Drosophila melanogaster: one gene and its partners. The protein of the gene in region 3 interacts with the protein of the main gene of each other region in a pairwise test. Each region holds a gene or a part of one and is shown on either strand. Other genes may lie near its edges. The genes, in order: Ravus, twe, Awh and kmg.

The links.
Region 1: the proteins of Awh (region 3) and Ravus interact in a two-hybrid assay, tested with the Drosophila melanogaster proteins (one large-scale study listed by BioGRID).
Region 2: the proteins of Awh (region 3) and twe interact in a two-hybrid assay, tested with the Drosophila melanogaster proteins (one large-scale study listed by BioGRID).
Region 4: the proteins of Awh (region 3) and kmg interact in a two-hybrid assay, tested with the Drosophila melanogaster proteins (one large-scale study listed by BioGRID).

What each region holds. Positions count from the first base shown.
Region 1 is NT_033777.3:13,261,973-13,266,601, forward strand, and holds Ravus (ravus), read right to left. Parts: upstream 2,090-4,629; 5' UTR 2,027-2,089; coding exon 1,995-2,026; intron 1,935-1,994; coding exon 887-1,934; 3' UTR 761-886; downstream 1-760. Other genes in the region: CG11686 (uncharacterized protein), read left to right, coding at 66-149; Su(var)3-7 (suppressor of variegation 3-7), read left to right, coding at 2,544-3,328, 3,763-4,347, 4,416-4,629.
Region 2 is NT_033779.5:16,258,084-16,263,534, forward strand, and holds twe (twine), read right to left. Parts: upstream 3,795-5,451; 5' UTR 3,508-3,794; intron 3,423-3,507; coding exon 2,142-3,422; 3' UTR 1,331-2,141; downstream 1-1,330. Other genes in the region: EndoGI (endonuclease G inhibitor), read left to right, coding at 31-96, 166-1,179; CG4935 (uncharacterized protein), read left to right, coding at 4,117-4,195, 4,256-4,374, 4,438-4,510, 4,567-5,097, 5,179-5,303. UniProt on the Drosophila melanogaster protein: Required during meiosis. Regulates the transition from the extended G2 phase to the onset of the first meiotic division.
Region 3 is NT_037436.4:3,844,254-3,849,603, reverse strand, and holds the start of Awh (arrowhead), read right to left. Parts: upstream 3,399-5,350; 5' UTR 2,863-3,398; coding exon 2,857-2,862; intron 1-2,856. UniProt on the Drosophila melanogaster protein: Probable transcription factor. Required for the establishment of a subset of imaginal tissues: the abdominal histoblasts and the salivary gland imaginal rings.
Region 4 is NT_033779.5:13,157,995-13,163,843, reverse strand, and holds kmg (kumgang), read right to left. Parts: upstream 3,318-5,849; 5' UTR 3,258-3,317; intron 3,052-3,257; 5' UTR 3,039-3,051; coding exon 1,482-3,038; intron 1,425-1,481; coding exon 738-1,424; 3' UTR 691-737; downstream 1-690. Other genes in the region: DnaJ-H (DnaJ homolog), read left to right, coding at 1-294; Pk34A (protein kinase at 34A), read right to left, coding at 3,726-4,900, 4,962-4,965.

The DNA of each region.
Region 1 (4,629 bases), on a different chromosome or scaffold from region 3:
TAGACCCACCCACACCCATTGCCTGGAAAAACATTGCTAACCGATTTGTTTTCTTACTTTCGCAGGGCATATCGGACATTCTGCTCCAGGGAGTCCAGTTCCCGTTCTACTGCGGGAAAGCCATGTTAGAGGGCAAGCAAGCTTTTTAAGGGGGATATTTCCCCAATATCAATTAACTAAGTGCCTTACTGATAACTCTTGTTTTCAATCATTTTTTACAATTTTACAAATAAAGATTTATTAACTTATATTTATAATTACTGGCATTTTTTCAATTGATTGATTCTGATTGATTCAATCTGATATTACATGTTGTTTGTTCGTTACAGTTGATAAATTCGCCTGATGGAGTGATTTTTACTATCTTTACCTACAGAACATACATTAAACTATCATGCGATAAACTTTTTATCACATGGTATTGTACATGCGTAATATTTACCCTTCAGAGAATTCGCTTTGTATCATTCACAATAAGTAAATCACAATTGTTACCCACACACAAGAAGTGGTTTCCATTGATTACAGCTCTTCCGTGATATCATTCTCTGAGAAAATTCACAATTTATACTTTGCTGGCAAACCAAGGTCAGGAAAACACTTTTTGAAATGCAGTTAGTGAAATATTAAAGCGAACCTAATACCTTAATGAGCCCATTTATTGGGCACTTAAATTTCTAAACGGATGAAATGTAATGAAGCCATTTCATAGAACAAAAACACCATCAGATAGATTTAAAGAATAAATGCACGCCACACTACAACAACTAATAAATAACTTTATTAATGAAAATCAGTTAACAAAATTAAAAAATGAAAGCACTAGCATATATTCTAATTGCCGTATTGAGCACGGTTTGGAACCGATTCCAAAGTCCAGGTGAATTTATTTGGTGGTAGAAGCCACTGTCGCATTCTGCTGACCACTGCCTGAGGCTTCAGCTGCTCCAGACCTGGAGTTTCCCGCGAGATCCGGAAGTCCGGCGACCTCAGAGAGCGCCTCCTGTTCGCAAAGAGCACGCAACTCGAGCTCCCCAATGAGCTGCATTACCCGGATCTTACCCTCGGTGGCCAGTTTGGGCGGCAAGTTCTTGACGGTGGCACATATGCTGTCGAAGAACAGCTCCAATGAGTCGCGCGGTGGCGTTATAGGTGACAATGGTTGCAGTTGATAAGATTGCAGCGGGCGGGCAGCATAGGAGGGCGTCGTGTGTATAGGCGTTATGGTGGCCTTGGAATTGATCTCCTGAGCTTGGCACATCCCACTGAGTGGAGTACTGTGCACTGGAACTTTTTTAATGGTGATCCTGCATGGCGGAGCTACTGTTGCTGTTGCTGAGGATGTGGGATAGGCGGAGACAGTGGTCGGAAGACTTTGAGGCCCCTCGTTGATGGTCACGTGTAGTGGCAGATAATCCAGCATGCCAGAATTCTGTGAGTCGGTCTCCGAAGTGCGGCGCTGCTGCTTAATGACGGGCTCCGTTTCGAGATCATTTTGTGCTTCCAGTTCTTGAGTCCGCTTCTCATCGTCCTCGCAGTCGCCCTCTGTTTCGTCAAGTTCTCCCTCCTCCTCATCTTCTGTCTCGTCGTCTTGGGGATCTGTTCCGTATTGTAGTAGACCCTCCTCGTCCTCGGTATCCTCCCACTTCATCGCACCGGAGCTGGATCCATTGAAGCTCGAATTGTTTGCCTTGGCTGGCAATGATTTTCTTTGTGCATTTTCCGAGTGCTTAATGCTACCCTCGTGCTTTCCCAGATCAGATCTCTTGCAGCTGAGCCTGCACTCGCACACCGCGCAGAACACGAAGTGCGGATCCGTCTCATCCGGGAGCAACCACGGATATATCGCCTGGTACTCCGGCTTTGTCTTGGGTCGAGGATATTTCAGCAGGGCGCACGGCCGGCGTGGCCTGTATTCGGAGCGTAGGGCATCTCTGGGCGGCGAATATAGTCAGTGAACATAAGACCCTGGTCTCTTACTTTGGTATACTCACAGTTTTTCCTGAGTTAACTGGAGGTTTGACATTTGGGTAGTCTTTTCCAAAATATAAACAAAATCCAGTGAGGTATGACCGTGCGCACATGCATAGAAATACCGCATAACCCGTTTTGCACATGCTGTAAGAGTTGTCACCCACACCGGTTGTTTGTTTCTACACACTTTATTTTAAATATTCAACGATATATGAATCATATGCTAATGCATGTAATTTCTTTATATGCTTTCTAAGCATAATGTTCATGTAGTTATTAAATAAATAATTGCAGTTATACTATGAACAGTACGTTTTAAGACCGTTCTCAATAAAGTGACCAGTCCAGTCCCTCAGTTGCATTTTATGTATTTTTTGAACTTCCTTAGTATATGGTCCTTAGCCCGCCGGTTTAATGCAACAGTACGGTCACATTGGCCATCGCCTTGACAGCGATTCTGAGTTTTCGCTTGCGATTATTTTTATTTTTTTAGTTTATAACCGTATACTGTGATCTCCCAAAAGCTAACAAATATTAGAGCAAAGTGCCTGGATAACCAGTATCTCGTGATGGATCGGGATTCGAGCATGCAGGCGAAAAACCTAGATGCTCAATGCAACCCAGACCTCAAAATGGCGTCTGCAAATTCAGAAACTTTAGCGTCGGCAACGCACGAGCTGAAAATTATGGACGTAGAGGGTGGTGCTCTGGTGGATCCGGATCACATCGAGGAAGTGGAGACCTCCATGGTCATCGTGGTGGATGATGACGATGGGGATGTGGCCATGGTGGTGGAGGAGGACAAGCACCCGATGCGGGATGACCCGTGTATTGAGGACATCATGGATGACGAACATGCTCCATTGGTGGCCGAGCTACAGTCCGCTCTAAATAACCCAGACGACAAACAGGCCAGCGAGGATCCCCTCCTGGAAGACCAGGAACGTGAACCCGATGCCATGTCCACTAAAACTGAACCCTCCAGCGATGCGGAGAGCTCCCATTCGTACCACGATCCCATGGGCCTGCTGGAGAGGATTGAAATCCATGATCCGGGAGACAGCCAGGATGACGACGACGAGGATGACGAAAGCAGCAATGGCGGTGGCGTTGACGGAGGCATGCGCCGCAAGATGCCCCGCGCACAGCGCTGGCTCCTCTGGATGAAGCGTTGGCCCTGGATCCTACACGAGGACTCCGATGGCACCTTAGCGTTCTGCCTTTACTGCAACATATCCATTAACGTGAACAACCGCTCTAGACACATCCAACAGCACAACGTGTCGCTCTCCCACCAGGAACGCGAGTGCAACTATCTGGCATTCAAGAAAAGTGAGGAGGAAACTCGAGGAGCGTAAGTGTCACAGTTTTAAAGATTACAAAAAAGAGTACAGAAATCTAAAATTCGGAGAAATCAAGTTAATTAATCCGCCGTATAAAGTAAAAGCTCAACTCTTCAAATGCCTTTCACTTTGTAAAGGGTTTGTACCGAAATCCAGAAAGCCCACTGTAGTGTGAAAAAAACTGCCAACTTAATGAAGGGAGCACTGCTCCGAGTCCGCATTAATTTTCCAACGTGTAGCAATTGTTTGACACAAAGAAACTGGTGTATGATAGGCTTGGTCGCGGTTCAGAATAGATTTTACATATATTACACTCCCTGCTTTCAATGAGGGTAGCTCTACTCGTAATGTTAGTAAGATTTGCACCTTTAAAAAACGAAATACCGAAATCATATTGAGATCACCGAAAGTTTGCGAACACTTATTAACTCCCAATTATCCGTAGAATCAGCGACAACGAAATCAAGCACGAATTCGGCACCAAGAGCTATGTGGCCGCCATGAAGCAAAAACGAATCTCCGAGACCGAGGCATTTAACAACTTCAACTGGCTGCGTTGGCTCCGTTGGCATCCTTGGCTTGAACGTTCCATGCCCACAGGGACCATCGGGACATGTCGCATCTGCAGCGTGCGAATGAACGTGGAGTTTGTCTATTTGCGCAAGCGCCACGAAACCACCAAAGGTCACATGGAGGCACTGCGCAACCTAGATTCCGATAAGCGGAGTCGGAAGCGAAAGAGGAGCAAGAGCAACAGCGTGACCAATAGCGGCGGGGATGAGGCCGAGCGAGAGAAGGAATCTGAACCAGAAGTTGGGCCGGAGGATGCTCAGGACACCCCTGTGGTTATGATGAACGGCGATGTGGACTCAGGCGACGACCCTGGCAAGTGGTGTGCACTGATTCCGGACACCAATCCACAGCAATGCCGATGTACGCTCTGCAACTGCACAATGGCGATTACCAGCTTCCTACGGCACTGTAAAACCAGAGCTCATTGTCACATGCTATCGACACCCGCTGAAAAGGGGTGAGTTGACACTCCTACAGAACGTAAATAGCACCTGTTCTTTAACTGCTTTCACTTTTTTACCTCAGCTCTTCAGATATTCGCGGCATTTGGGCCGTGTTCGCCGACATGCATCCTTGGTTGATTGCTGATCCCGAAGACCCCAGCATTGGGTACTGCAGCGTCTGTCGCAAGCGATTCATGTATGGAAACTCAGAGATCAAGCGCAAGAATCACGAAAAATCCGAGAAGCATACCTTGGCTTTGGCCAGCGCCAAGGCAGGCATCGAAGTTGGTTCGGCT
Region 2 (5,451 bases), on a different chromosome or scaffold from region 3:
ACCTTAAATCGCCAATTTATCCAGAGGGGAATGTCCAAGCGCAAGGCCGAGGACACACAATCCGACAAAATGGCAACGGCCGAGAAAGTAGCACAGGTAATAAGCAACAGCCATAGAAAATAAACAAAAATAGTTTACAAACAATAACAACTATTGTCTGGACAGAACGATTACACCATTGGCCTGGTGGATCCCGTTAAGGATTACCAAAAGCTTATCGAAACACGCGTGCAGGTAGACGAAATCGTGGATGATGATGTCACCAAGGAGAATTTCGATCGAACGGCTGCAGCGGCGCGTGACGTCATCTGGCGGCTGTTATTCGACGAGGCCGGTACCTCGCAATCGAACACAGAGAAGGCCAGCCAATTGCTGGAGGAATACCGTGGTGACGCCTGCTTCTACGACCCGACGCCGTACAACGAATGGATTGTCAAGCTGAGGGATGAGGTTCTAAAGAAGGAACTCCTCGACTTTTGGCGCGATGTGCTGGTGAAGAAGCAACTCGGTCCCTGTTGGTCACGCGACAGTGATCTCTTTGACAGCGACGACACCCCGCCATTGGAGTTCTATGCCCATGCCGGTTGTACCGCTCCATTTGCAGCCAGCTTAAAGGTGCGCGCAGCACTCGAGGAGCAGGCTTCGCTGGATCAGGATGGGCCAGCGACGCCTACAACTCCGGGTGAACTGAGTGCCGATGATGCCGCCGCTCTGTCTGGCGAATTTGAGGCCACCCTGACCAAGGAAAATCCGCTCGAGGAATACCGAACTCTAATGAAGCGCTTTGTTCTGACCAAAATCATCGTTCCGGACAGCGTTCACCAGGCCAGCGTGAAGAAGATAGCGGCAGCCGCCAGGGAGATAATCTGGAAGCTGCTCTTCGATGGCACACCCTCAGCGGAGGATCAAAACAAGGCCGCCGAGCTGCTGCAGGAGTACAAGGGTGATGCTGGTTTCTATGGGCCCGACGACTACAACAGTTGGATTTTCAATCTGAGGGATGAGGTTCTCACCAAAGAGCTTCTCGACTTTTGGCGCGACAAGATGGTGAAAATGGAACTTGGTCCCAGTTGCGCCCGCGATTCCGACTATTACGACAACGAGGATCCGCTGCCATTCGAGTTTTACGAAAAGGCTGGTTGCAAGGCTCCCTTTGAAGGACCTGTAAATGATGATTAGTAGTGCATCTTTCATGACTGAAGGATTGTTTCCTTATGTACTAAAACACCTATTCTGGTCGTAATCTCTGAAGGCACACACAGTAAAGCATTTCAATATCTGAATTATGTTTCGAAATGTTAGAAATTGTTTAAAAATGAATAAAATGATAAGTATTTTATAACTGTTCTCAAAAATAGTGGTCCTTTTTATTATCTCGATCAGTAACAAATTATTTGTTCTCTTCATATTTCTTCAATAGCTTAAAGCATTTAAAATTTTGTAATATATATAAACTATAATAGCATATAAATTAAGGAACATTTTTCTTCATTTGATTTAAAATTTGTATCACGAATTTTCTTGAAATATTTTATGAGTATTCTTACATCTCCTGTTCTAATTAAGCATTATGCATCCTAAAACTTTTAAATTGTGTATTAAATGATTGTTTTTAGATACTTTTAATAAAAGTTGACCGATGTAGGTGGAATCCACATAAATAGTTTCAGCATAGTTTGTATTCATACATAGACAATTTTCGTAATTTCCTTTGAAGTTCTTAAATCCAATGGTTAGATTATTATGCTTAAATACTAAAATAAAATATGAAATACTTTCTTAAGTTAACTTTTAAATTCCGAACACAAAAATGAACTTTAATTAATTTTGAAACTATTACATACACTGACTAGAGAACATATATCCATTTTCTGTTCTTCTTCCCATCTTTGGTGGTTCCCATTTGGGTGCTCTGTGTCCACACAACGTGGAACATAATACAAAATCAAGAACTAAATAAATATAAAGTGCTTTCACAACATTTGAACAACGCAACAAGAAATGAACCTTAAAATGTGCGTCCTTAAATATTACAAAATAATTCTATGAGTAAAATTGGGCAGCCATCGTTTCTCATTGAGATCTCTGTGAGCTTATGGCAGGTGGATCGATTCGAGAATTGTATCTATAGCCTGAAATGGTCACTCGGCGTAGAGCAGTCGTGAACGTGATTTCCGGAGGCCGCGAGAGCCTCCACCGCCGATTCCACTGTCTCCGCCCTCGCCACATTGCCAGGACTTGGTCTTGGCCCGAAAATATCGAAACTCATCATTGTGCGCCGGTGCCAGCATTGGTACATATTGGCTGGGCTGGCATAGCTGCGAGTATAGACCGAAGAACTCCTTGTACCCATTGTGCAGGATATAAAGTTCAGGATAGTCCAGTGCCGGATAGTTGTGGGTATGCTGACTTCTGTCGTTGCTCCGCAGGTAGCGCAATAGCTTGGGACCCCGTTCCGAGGAGAACTCACAGTGGAAGACGTAGATGCGTCGATTTTCCTGATTGGAGGTCAGCGTGGGAAACGCCTCCTGTATCTGCCCACGTGTGTACAAATTCTTCGCTCCCCGTATGTGTCCGCCAAGGAACTCGTATGGGTAACGGCAGTCTATGATCTCGTATCCGCCCTGGCTTCCCAATTGTTCATCAAACTCGCCCTGAATCAGTCTGGCCAATGTGTCACTGGAGATGGTCTTTAGATCACGATGTCTAATGCCTGTCGCCAAACAGGGCAGGGTACATGGCTTGCTGAGATCTCCGATTAACTCTGGTTCATCTCCCAGTGCTCTCATGATCTCGGCGTCGTTCATTGATAGAGTTTTCCGTTGCATCTTCTTCATGGGCATGTTGGTCTCCTGATCTGGTTCTTGAACCGCTTCCTCTGGCTGTTCACTGGGATACATGCTAAGGCAGCGACGCAGGGAGCCTTTTTTGTTGGACATCTCCTCTAAATTGCTTTCCGATTTCAGCTGTCCGCTGAGGAGCACTTCCAAGTCATCGGGCAACTCAAGATTGTGATTCTCGGCTGATTCCATTTCGAACATGTCCATGTACTCATCATCCAGCGAGTTGCCCGACTCGTAACTCGAGCAGGAGCTACTGAAACTGCCGAGTGTTCGCGAGGACAGGCTATTAAAGTTATTCAGGGTCCTGTTGGCTGGGATTCTCTGGGTGGACTTGGGAGTGCCATCCAGGCGGGCTCCATTCATATTCTGCGACAATTCGGTGATGGGCGACAGAACGGTGGTGCTGGCAGGAATATGCCGCTTCAGCATCCATTGCAGCGGAGTCTCCTGCACGGCTGATTTTCGCCTTTTGGCCTGGTATTCCATATCGGCATCATGGGGATCGAAATTCTCCTGACCACACGCTCCACTTTCATCATCTTCTTCCTCCACATCGAGCATTAGCCGCTTGCTCGCCATCTGCGCGTTAAAAAGAAAAAAAACAATGATTTTTTTATCAGCTGGAAGCTGCTAAAATCAGCTGGATTTTCGCAATTGTTCTTACCCTGATCTATTTGCGATATACGTAACTATTGGGAAGTTCAGATTTTGGGTTCCAGCGTGCGCAGTGATTTCGATTGCCAAATCCTTGACGATTTTCTTGTTCTGTCGACTTGTTTGTTTCGCTTTTGGCGGTCAACTTTATTGGCGCCTTTATCAATTCCCCATTCTACCGATGCAAACCCACCACCTGCTAACTCACCACTGCGCCGTATTTAAACAGGACGCTCTAGTTTGAATTTAAATTGCTTGTATATTTTTTTGTTGGTATTTGCATGGCTGGTTCAACTTTATTTGACAAAGAGCAATGAAATTGAATTTAAAAAGCGCAGCCATCTTAATGATAACGTGTTCTACCACCATAATATGCGATGAAATCAATATATTTTCAATCAATAAATTTGTACTTTAAATAGTTATAAGAAAAAGATACATAGAATAATCGTTAATGAGCGTAATAAAATAAAAACATTCCACAATTATAATTATGAATCATATCATTTTTCCAGTGGAAAATTTGACAAAAACATATTAACATTTATTACATCTGGTCACACTGTCCGTTTGTTTATATTTTTCGTGCTGCAGTTGTGTTATTGTTTTTAATACAAATATGCCGGAATTTGAGAACTTTAACGTAAAAACCACAATTGACTGCAAACAAGGTGCAGTGCGAGCTGTGCGCTATAATGGTGAATGGTTTTCAGTGCCCGATTTTTAAGCATTAACTCATCTTGATCCTTAATCTTTAGTTGATGGCACTTATTGCTTGAGTTGTGGATCTGACAAGAAGATAAAGCTGTGGAATCCGGCATCGGGATTACTGCTTAAGACTTATGGTGGTCATGCGGATGAAGTCACCGATGCGGCGGTATAGTTTTTTCTCACTTAGTATTATTCTTATTATTAAGTACTCCACTTTGGCATATTGCAGGGAAGCTGTGATAGTAGCTATATCGTTTCCGCCAGCTTGGATAAAAGCATTATCTACTGGGACGTGTCAACGGGTGAGTTGTAATCACAGCGCACCAATTATGGCTAATGTTTCTCTCGCCTATTTCAGGAGCACCAGTACGGCGCCTGCGTAGCCATGCCGGAGGTGTTAGATGCGTCTGCTTCAACGAGGACTCCTCGATAGCCATTTCCGGGGGTCGAGATAATGCCGTAATGTGCTGGGACATTCGAACGCGTCGCCTGGATCCCGTTCAGGTGATGAAGGAGGCCCGGGACTGCATCACCACGGTGGCAACCAACGAGAATCGCATCTACGCCGCCTCCTTGGACGGATGTGTGAGGACCTACGATATTCGGGTGGGCGAACTTACCTGCGACAAAATTGGTGAACCCATCACATATCTGGCGCAGACGCGCGACGAGCAATGTCTGGTGGCCGGCTGTCAGGATAGTGTGGTTCGTCTGCTGGACTGTGAGACCGGCGGATTACTCTCCGAGTACAGGGGACATCGCGGCGATGACTACCACATCGAGTGCGGAATACTGTCAAACGATGCCCAAATAGTCACGGGCTCCAGTGATGGAGACGCCTTTGTTTACGACCTGCTCGATGGGAAAGTACTGCAGCGCATTCGCATAAGTAAGCAAGTGAAGTTGAACTTTGATTATTAGCTATATACATATATTAACATGTGGGTTTCCTTTGTCATATATCCGTCAGGTGATAATGGCGGCGTCGTCCACTCCTTAGCCACTCATCCCAAGCGACAGGAAATGCTTTTCGCCAGACGACGGGACATGTATGTCTTCTCGACAGATTTGCAAATCGAAGAGGAGCAATTATAGGTACTCATAATGCTGTATAGTTTTACCAAAAGCTAGTGATATAAATAATATAGTTATAAAATATAAAGACTCCTTCAGGAGCCCACCTCATCAAAATACCCGCAAACATAAAAAATTGATTGTTTTGTTGAGGGAAAAAGGAAAAACC
Region 3 (5,350 bases):
AGAACGAATCAAGTGGCATATTTGTAGCGATACATATGTATATTAGAAAGTGTTATACATTTTATTTAAAATCAAGTTCTTTTGAAAATGTGGGATAACTTATATAGTATGCGAACTACAGTTTGTAATACGAAAACGATTCCTTTTTGGCCAATTTACAATTGTCAAGCAATTAAATGCGAATATTTTCAGGCGACAAACTGGCAAAAGGACATTTATTTTATTTATTGGAATTTTTTGCCAGAAATCGAAATCGAATGGTTTGCATTTAGGGGTTGGCTCGTAAATTCCAGGGGCGGGTTTGGGTCTCTATCTTCCTTGATTTCTTTTTTTTTTTTTTTTTTTGAGTTGCCGGCAGACAGGAGTGGCAATGATTTGTGGCATTTTACAATTTTACAGGCCCAAGGGCCATGCATCATTTGTAGGCCAACTAAGCGTCCTTTAAGGACTATTTTGTGGATGCACTCGAACGAACAATGGCAAGACACTCGACTCGCCTTCCATTGTGCGGTTTTGTGAGGACCTCTTGTGCCTCCTGCATTCGATGTTCATTCGAAGAGGACTTCTCGCATTTACCTGCTAAAAATGCTGCTGCGATTTTGACACATCTACCCAGCGATCTCTTCCTGCAATTCGCATGCGCAACCCGACTGAAAACTGACCAGGAACTCTGGCATCTATTGTCAATAGGTATGTACATACTACATATATGGATTCGAGGCCCAAAACAAAGGTGTGATATTTGTTTCTCTTTGTCCCTGATCGGGGCAATTGGCTCAAGTCAAGATGCATTTTCCGTTTGCCCATTGTTTTCCCAAGGAGACAAGAACCGAGGCGTAGACTTCTTGTCAGCGTTGACAATTAGGCATTTTCGACCAGTGGTCACAGGACACTCTTCAGAATGTCCTTTGTTTGGGAATCCAATTATTAGGGGGCTTGCTGAAAAATCTGCTGACCGCTGGCCAGGCAGCTGGTTTTGCAAAACATCCTTTTGGTAAGTAGGAAAATCTTGGCCATCGGCACGCGCTCCTTTTTTTGGTTTCTTGTGCGGGATTATGGGACAATGGAGTTAGGCGTGTAATCCTCAAAAGGTGTTTTGTCAAACACTCAAAGCTAATAAGTAGATGGAGATATAGAAAGTCAAATCCTAAAATCTCTGTAATCACTCTGTATTTTTAGTTCGCCTTCAAATACCCAATTGCCAATTAAAGAAAACTTTTTCGAACCGCAGATGGAGGCGTCAACGACTTCTTACACAAAACATTTTTGGTGTATCTATTTATGGGAGGTTTAGTTTTTTCCAATCTTTCAATTTTCTTGTGAATTATTAATGAAAAATCGATTATTGAAATATGTATATACGTTTTTTATAGCTGCTTCGCAGGCATTCGACATTTAAGCGCTTAAATATTTATGCCTTTTTTATATCTCTTTCTCCGACTGACTACCTAAGAGCAGGGAAAAAAAGACTCCATCTCCATACTTTGTTGAATATTCATAAGGCAGCGCCTAGTGGCGTCATTTTCGGATTTGGATTTGGATGATAAAGCGGGGCGGCGACATGTGGAAGGGGGGGGATCCACCAACATCTGGGCCGGGTCAAGATCGATGATGTCAAGAAAAGGTCTCTCGCCGAGAATCCCCCATGCCCCTTGACCATCGACGGCACCTCAGAACTGTTGACATTTGAGTTCTGGACTTCGAATTGTAAGCGGATCCCCCGCTGATCTGATTTTTCCCCCTATGACCGTGGTGCGTATAGAAATCTAGCTAAATAAAATCGGGCGATTAAAATTATATCGCAGAGCAATAAGCGTCAGCACCTTGTCCAATTTGCTATGGTAATGAAAATTATGCTCGTCGAACAAAGCCATGGTAAATCGATCATCGGCGAGCATAAATCATGATCGATTCTCTGCAGACTCATGGCAAATATTTTTCGAAAATCCTGTGGGTGGTTCACACACACAACAAAAAAAGCCCGTCGCACAGCGGGTGTAAAAATCGATTAAACGTTTTCGGACTGGGTATGAAATAAAATCAAAGTCAAAATCAAATTCGAAATTCAAAAACCAAAAAATATGTGTTGTTGAATGAACAAGGGATTGAGCAACATCATCTAGGCGACACGATCAATGCAATGTCTTGAAAAGATACAAAACAAAAAAAAAAAAAGGCCAAGTTGAATATGATTTTTGGGGTTTGGTTGCAGATACATCCGAATATCAGCCTTCATTTCACAGCCAATATTCGAGTAATACCCAAAAGTGTGGGCTGCGATCTGTGGCTTATTCGCTGAGTGTTTTCGATGGGAGGAACCCCACTGTGCGATTTGTGTGCTTTTCATATTCACCGCCCTGTGTCGTCTCCATATTTTTGAAAACTCATCGTTTTCCAGCCGCTATTAGTGTGCTGGCTTTTTCGAATTGAATTGAAACTGTTTTGCTCCGGTTTTTGTCTTAACTCCGGCTCACTTCTTTTTTTACTCCCAATGGTCGAGCAAACGCCGCCTGTTGCGTTTTCTGGCCCAATATGCTCGCAGCGGGCTAGGAAACTTTACATAAAAAACTGATTTGTGGGTCACTCGGGGTCTACTGGACTTTATGTCCAGCAATTAAAAAGGAAAGCAGAAACTTCATTTTGAGGGGGTGTGCAAACAGACCGCTCAAACGCCGAGCAATACGGGTGGAACATGCAACACTTACAGTCTAATTTAATAGAGAATATTAAAGACTAACTTTATTCAAAAATGTAGAAATTTATAATACACAGACTGATAACTTTCCTCTTTCCAATAGCAATAAAGTTGATTTTTTACAACTCAATCTATCTTTTTATAAAGCAATCGAGACTCACCTTCATTTTAATTGCCTCCACAATTTTGGCGGTTGTTAATCCAAGTATCTTGCTCGAAAATCTGTCGCCAGCTTTAGCCTGGGAATCGATATCGAGCCCGATCGCAGCCAGTATGAGGAGATATAGATGATAAAGACGACGACTTGATCAGTTTGTCAAGCGTCCCACGGAAGCCGCCGTCTGCATAGGATGCTTATATAATCGTATTCTTAAACCAGATCTATTAATAACCAGTGTAAATTCGCATATCCGAGATAGAAATCAATTTGCAGGCGCTTGCAACATTTTTTTTGTTTTTGATTAGCACATTCGATAACAGTTCACTTTCTTAGCCGACGGCGAATGTTGCGTTTCGATTTCAATAATATAATGTGCGACACCTTATGGCATGGAATACTCGTAGAACCTTATCACGATAACACGTTTCACTGCAGATACTCTGAGCGCTTCTCGCTTTTCTCGTGACGGAGCGGAGCGGATCGAGCGGATCGAGCGGACGCGAGATGTTGTTACAGCTTCGAGGCCACTGCGTTAACTGCCGGCGCTCGGGGTTCGAGCTCAGGGATCTGGTGGTGGTGCTCAACTGGCTCGGCTCACGCCCGGTTTCCATATGCTCATGGCATGCCCGCCACCACCACAGGTATGATGATGAACCAGCCGTACGCACAACCACAACCACCAGTCAGTCCCATTCGAAACTCGACTCGAGAACTCGCTCAACTGGTTTTTGAGCGCACATCTGTCGTCGGCGCAACGGGAATGGTGGTGATTGGCCCGCCTGGCCACGCCCCTTTGCGCCCCGCATAACGAGTTCCGCAGTGGTGTCCCCCATTTTGAGTGCTTTCCCAGTCCGCGCCGCCTGTGCACCAATTGAGTGCGCCGGCGCGTGCCAACTTGGCCACTTGAATCGAGTCGAAACTCGGAGTGAAATCGTGCCGCGAATTGGGTGGGTGTTGCTCTGGTGACGATGTTGCCATTTCTACTGATATGGCTGTTACTCGAAGGAATTTCTGTCATATTGCTGGTGCTTTCGATGTTGTTGCTGCTGTTTTTGAGACTCGTGTGGCTGCTGTTACTGTATCTTTTGTTCTTTATAAAGCAGTATCTGTTGTAGCAGCTTTTCCTAGAAAAGATTTCACTGTTGTGGTTACTTTTGCCTAGAAAAGCTACCAATGTTGCTCCTGTTGCAGTTGTAACAGTTGTCATGCTGCTGCGTTTACTGGAACAGATGTTGCTTCTAACTCTTTTGCTTTTACTCAGGATATTTCCACTTAAGATTCTCCTTGAATTGTTGTGCCTTTCAATAATATTGCTGTTGTTACTGCCACTTTTGCTTTTTCAAGTAAGTATATTGTTGTTACTATAATTTTCACCGTGACTTCAACTGATGTTACTGTCATTTCTGCTTTTCCTGCTGACTTTTTTGCTGCCTGAGTGAGTAAAAGTCCAGGAAAACCCGAATATCGAGGGAGGAAGTAAGGGAGAGGGAAAACGGAACTCGAGCTCCGCCGCACTTGACTTTTTGGGGTCAAACCGCTTGATGGAGGGGAAGTGAGTTGATGCCAGTGGATGCTGCTGTCTTTTCGGTTATATATTTTTTATTTCTGTTGGCTGTTTGTGATGGCATGCCAAACATGATAGCGCAGCAGACTGACTCAAAGAAAAAAAGGTTTAAAGTTAAAAACATTTTATTTTATTTAACATAAAATTAAATTGCATGGCTTTAACAATAATAATATAACAACAATAACAATATATTGCTTTTATATTAATACTTTTAAAGAAAGTACTATTATTAATGATTCCTTGGTGCTAAATAACTCTTCAAGTTACTCCAGTTTCCTTTGTCCCCTTTATACTTTGATTTAAGCCTGAGTTTAAGCTTTATGTGCAACACCGATCCCCTTGAGGATTTCCATTTCGAGCACTTTAACCATTACTTTGCACCATTTTTCATTCACTGTCTCTTTGATCGTGGGCTGTCTCTTAAAGCCGCTTGGCATTCAATTGGCATTTGGCTGTCGCCATCATCCAGTCGAGTGGCCCCCACCGCCTCCTCCTTCGCCAATCCTTCTGCCTGCCCCCGTTTTTTTTACCACTTTTTCTCCGCTTTTTGCTTTGCTCACGTTATTTAAGGATTAACATCATTTTATGGTGCCTCGCAATGCCTTTTTTGCAGGATTAAATGCTGCTGCCTGCTGGCTCTCGTTCTCCTGTCACTGCACTGGAAAAAAATTAATATATCTTTAAACTGTTCTATACTTAAATAAAAGCTTCAAGCTTAAAGTTAACCATTTATAGAAATATCTGTCATAAAACCTGCAAACTGCTTTAGGGTATTGTCATTTGTTGTTTAATTTCCATTTCGTCAGCAAGTTGGTCATATTTTTTCAAGTGTAATTTCACACCCCCATTTCCCCCTCACGCTGAATTTTCCGCTCTCCTTTCGCCCCTTTGAATTGATTGCATTGCACTTTTTCTCGCTGTTGTTGTT
Region 4 (5,849 bases), on a different chromosome or scaffold from region 3:
TTGCAGCACAACCAGATCAAGATGGTGCGAGGCAGTGGTATGCCTGTTTTTAACAAGGCCACCGACAGTGGAGATCTCTACATGAAGTTTAAGGTTAAGTTTCCGGACAACGACTTTGCCACGGCACCGCAGTTGGCCATGCTGGAGGACTTACTCCCTCCCAGACAGCCGATAGTGATCCCAAAGAACGCCGAGGAAGTGCAAATGACGGACTATAAGCCGCAGCCACGACAGCAGGAAGACGAGGACGGACAGTCGTCTCACTTTGAGGGCGTACAGTGCCAGACGGCTTAGTGCATGTGGTTGTGGCTCCTGCAGGCGCGGTATCTCTGCCTCGATTTGTGGCTCATCCTGGGCACTTTCAGCGTAGATGAAGTCTGCTTCCTGGTGCCGCTGTTCGTCCTGATATGCATAGTATTATTTTTCATACAGGAATGTTTGCTGTGAAAAGCGCGTGATCTAAATTCGTAGTGTTATTATTCGAGACTAAAGCTTAGCTGATCTGTCACTAATACATTAGCCACGCTAAATTAACTATTAACTACTTATTTATTGGTACCTATTTTTTGGGCTGAACTTGCCCCAATTATCCCTACAAAACTATAAACGAATACACAATAATAGTTCTCTCATAGAAATCTTAAAAACCGGATAAATTTAAATCGATTTACGTATTTTTATTTAATTTTTAATATTGTTGCTGAGAATTGAGTATTCAAAGATTCGAAAGATCCGTTTTAATCGCTTTCATTGGATTCATCAGCGGATGTCGTTTCGTCTGATTGACCACCATCTGTCTTGGTCAAATTCATAGGCGACCCTTTGGGCTTTGGCATGACTTGTGATGAATTCAATGATTTAAATGACAAGGGTTCTAAATTTGGCTCCGTCTTGGCTCCCTCTTGCGGCAGCTCATCGCTGTTGCCTGCCAAGTCCTCCGTCTGGTCATCCCTGGGCTTTCGTAAATCCAGTGCCGAGGTCGAATGAGCACTATCCACCATCTCGATGATCTCCTCCGTTTCCATGGGATGATGGTCGTCTAGCTTCTCCGGCGGCATCACAATCATTTCACCCGTGCGCATTCCCTTCGAATCGGCCAATTGTTCGGCGCTTACCTTCATCATAGTCAGATACTGATTGTACTTGGCGTAGTTGCGCCTACCGGTCTCATCGTTCATCAGCACCTGGGCCTGGTTATGGGATCTATCGCGGAGGGCCTTCAAACGGATGTGCTTGGTGATGTCCCAGCGCCAGTTGGAGCGATAGGCGCACAGAGAGCATTCAAAGGGCTTCCTATTTAGATGACCAACGATGTGGACATGGAAGCGAGATGCAGTGGCTGCCCAAAAACTGCAATGAGGACACTTAAAAACCTTCTTCAATGGCGCCAAATCTTCGGGTTCCTCTGGCAAAACTTCTGTGACCTGAAATTAAAGGGATAAGTTTGCAACACCATGTACTTATATATATATGGACTTTACCTCCCCATAGCCAGGAGCTGTTTCTACGCCGCAATAACTGAGATCAGTGGGAGCATTGGGGAAGTCCTCATCGTGAAGATCCACCTCCGCGTTGATAGAAGCCTGCAGTTGGGTGGTGTTGTGCAAGGCCAAAGTGCACACTTGTAGATGGTTGATCAACTGCATGGCATTGCCCACCCGCTTCTGGCAGTGTGAACAAACGATCCCCGAAGTCCGGGGAAGCAGAGATTCTGTCGATGCAACGGTAGCACCACCATTTTTAAACGTTTCTGGTTTCCTGGAACCACTTGACTGCTGATCCACCAGATCCTCAGCCTCATCTCGGCTTCGGTTGCCCATTTGGTGAACCGGCATGGGCACATGATGGTTTGATTCGTGTATGGTCAGCGATTGTTTGATATCCGTGCTAAAGTCACAGCACGAGCACTTGAAATGGCCATTGGCACCATGGTTCTTGGTGTGCCGGTCTAGATTCCACTTGTAGGGTGTGTGAAAATCACATGAGCTGCACTTGATCAGTGGCATGGAATGGTACTTCACATGCTTTTTGAATCTGGCTCGAATGGGCGTGCTATATGAACACTTCTGGCATTGAAACTGCTCCTTACCCGACACCAATTCACGGGTATCCGGCGAAGGACTCTTCGCAGTCTCCTCGGAATCGGAGCTGCTGTTTTGCTGTTCCAATTTCAGGGACTCTGCTTGCTTAGGCGGCATTAACTTGGTCTGGAACTCGTAGGCCATGGAGAATATGTTGTCGTGGCTCTCGACGATCTGCTGCAGCTGCAGCATCTCCTGCTGTCGATTGTACGCCTGGACACTGGCCAGTAGCTGCATCTCTTGCTGCTGCAGTTCTACTTTCAGCTGCTCCAGTGGCGGTCCATTTTGGATCATGCGCAGCACGCTGAGGTCTAGGCATTGCCCAGTCGCACCCTGGCCTTCAATGCTCTCCTCCAGACGACGCTTGCGCACCTCCCTGGAGAGATTTCGCTTACCACGCGGCTGAGCACCTGATCCCTGCACTGCGCCGCCATCATCGGAACAGCCGTGCACCATTTTCATGTGCCGCACCAGCTTCTGGAAGTGGCGTGAGGCATAGAGGCACAACTTGCACTCGTTGATCACAATCCGCTCGCCATGTACGTCCCGCAGATGCGAGAGATGACTGCGCGGATTTTGCGTGAAGAATGCGCACTGGTTGCAGCTGTAGTTACGCCGTATCTTGCACTGCGGCAGCTCATCGTCGTTGTTGTTGTTGCACGGATTACCATCTGGCAGTGAGTTCTCCATATTTTCCTTGGCCAAGTCCCCCGGTGGTGCAGAGTCTGCGGAAACAAACCCGGCCATCGATAGTGGAAACATAAAGTTATTCGCCTTATACTGCTCCAGTTGTTGCTCCAAAAAGTCCTGACCTATTAGCGGCTGCACGCTTTGGGACATAGGAAGCACAGCACCTGCTCCGCCCTCAATAGATGACTGATAAAGTGGAGCACCACTAACCAAGCTGCGCACCACCAAGCGATCACCCGAACGCTCCACCATTGAAGGCAGCTCCATGACTTGACAAAATCTGAAACAAGCAAAATTTTCCTTGGATTTTTTCACAGAACACTTTTCAACCGTCCGGTGCGAGTTCTCCTGTAAGACTGATTCACTTTTCCGATGGTCCTGCTAAACTTCTTTTGGCTTTTCCAAGGGCTACTTCGATATGACAGAAAACGAGTTCTCAGGGACGTGAGATGTTCAAATGCCAAATAAAAAATTCGTAGTTCTCACCGAATTAAGGTTTAGGTTTTATTTTATATTTTATAAAAATAGCAATGTCATTCTTTCTTTCACATAACCACAATTTATAAAACTTGCTTCTTGGGTGTCAATAAAAAACGCATGGTTCCGGTTCAAGATTCGGTTCCAAGTGTTTATGTGGTTCCAATGTTAATGTTAACATAAGCCTATTTAATTTTAGATTTTAATAAATAAGAATTATTGTAATAAAATATTAAACATTTCTTAGTGTATCTATTTTGCATCTTAAGAAAAGTTTTTTAACAGGTTTTATTTCCATCCAAATGATAATTTCATGTTATCGCTGAAATGTTATTTAATATTATTTTGTAATACATTTTTATTATTTATTTTTTTTCCTTTCCAGGGCAGGACACTTAACATCAGTAACAAGAGGACAATTAGATATTTGAACAACCTGAAAAATCCCTGCCATAGTTAGTTTATTTTGAAAATCTTCTAGACTGCTTCAAAGGCTTCTACGACCGAATACTTGTCCTCCATTGAAGACAAATGGATCGGTAATAGGTTGACCCAAAGTTTTGGATCTGTACCCATCTCCAGGCTGTTGAAGTCGAACAGAGGGGGGAGCGGATTGCCATTGGGCATGGGCAACGCCATGGCGTCCATGATGCGCAATTCATCATAGGAACCATGACTACATGCCATCATAGGTGAGATTCTAGCGGCGGCTTCATAGATGAAACACGAGTTCAACAGACCGCACAGATCCTGCGGAACAGCCGTATTCAGGAGATAATTCCAACTGGGACGAGTGGTCCGTGGGTGAAGTGAATTTCCACACTTTGAGAGTATTTCAGGAGCTCGTTCCAAGCCATCGGTGCCCAGCATATTAACGATGAGTCGCAGCTGCTTTCGGTCATGTTTGTGGCTGGAGAAGAGCGGATATCCCTTGAGCAGCTCCGCCAGGACGCAACCAGCACTCCAGATGTCCACGGCACACGAATAAAGTTCGTACCCGGCAAAAAGCTCCGGAGCACGATAAAGCCTGGAGCAAATGTAGCTTATACTGGGCTCCTGGGGCACCAGGAGTTTGGCGCTTCCAAAATCACTTAGCTTAAGCACCATCTTCTGGTTGTCTATCAGCAGATTCTCGGGCTTGACGTCCCGGTGGGAAATGCCCAATAGATGAAGATATCCCAATCCTCTGAACATCTGATACGAGAGTATGCGGACATTGATTAGGCGCTCTGCGGGCTGTAGCACCGTTAGGTGATAGTTGATATAGTCCAGCAAAGTCATAGGCATGTACTCCATAACCAGCAAAACGTAGTCCACTGACGGAAAGCCCAAACTCACGGACGAGTGCATGATGAGCCGGACAATGTTGTTGTGGTCCTTTAGCTGACCCATAATTTCTGCTTCGCCCTGGCTCAACTTCGGATTGTAAAGGGTTTGCTTAACGGCCACTATTTCCTCGGACTCATTCACATGAGCCTGGTAAACCCGGCCAAAGGATCCACTTCCAATCAGATCTTTAACCTCAATCCTGACCAAAGCAGGTTCCGAACAGAGGCGACCGACGGCATAGGTGCTGATCACTGAGTTCTTGGGAATGATGAGTGGAACTTGGGCATGGCGTTTAAGGGGCTTTTGCTTCTTTTCTTTATTTTCTTAAGAAGAAATGAGTGATTTGAAGGAAATCCTAAAGAATTTTAGGACAAATTGACTTACCCATTTTTAACGAAACTCTTAAAAAATAACTCAGATTTATTTCTCCAATAAATCTAGCAAGGCAATGGCTTGAAAGGAATAGTACGAATAGCACTACTGTCACTTTTCTTAGGCATTGCCACCTTGTTCGATTTCAGGAATCGTATTGTGAATGGAAATATAAGTGTTGGAAATAAAAACTTTAGAGTTGCCGAGGATTCTTTCAACCTCAACAGGTAATATGGAATATATATGATATATAATTTGTATACATTTGTTTCGATTTTGCCAGCAGAAAGCCAAAAGTGGATTATGTATATGGGGCAGAGTTTTAAATGCGATAAAATGTCGTTCGTCGGTTCGAGCCATTATCATTTCCGCTTTAGCCGCAACAATCTCTCTCTCTCTCTCTATTCGTTTAGACTGCTTTCACCCCCCACCACCTCCGTCAAAGTTTATGGGCCATGCATTTGCGGAAATGTCGCCTGCCAGTGTATTCTCGCTTTTACTCTGCGGTTCAGAGTTGGAATTCATGTAATTCCATTAACACAGACAACTTCCGCTGGAAGAGAGAAAGGACGAGCACTCACACTAATGGCCGAAGCGTGTATGTGTGTGTGTGCGTGGGAGGATGGTCTGGATTTTGGTGTATTTGCTCAAACGGATTTTGTGTCGGAATCCTTAGATAGTGATGATTCCAAAAGCTTGTCTCTTTTTTTGCAGAGTCCAAATATTGTTTAATAAAGGGGTTATAAAGGGGTTTCGAAACCGGATGTTATCGTTCTGATTTGAAAACAAATATTGCATACTTCCAGGCGACCACTTAAATAATAAGCCAATAAGAGATTTATAACTTTGATTGTGTAAATGAATATACAATATATAGTAGTGTGTGAAACTGTTATATTG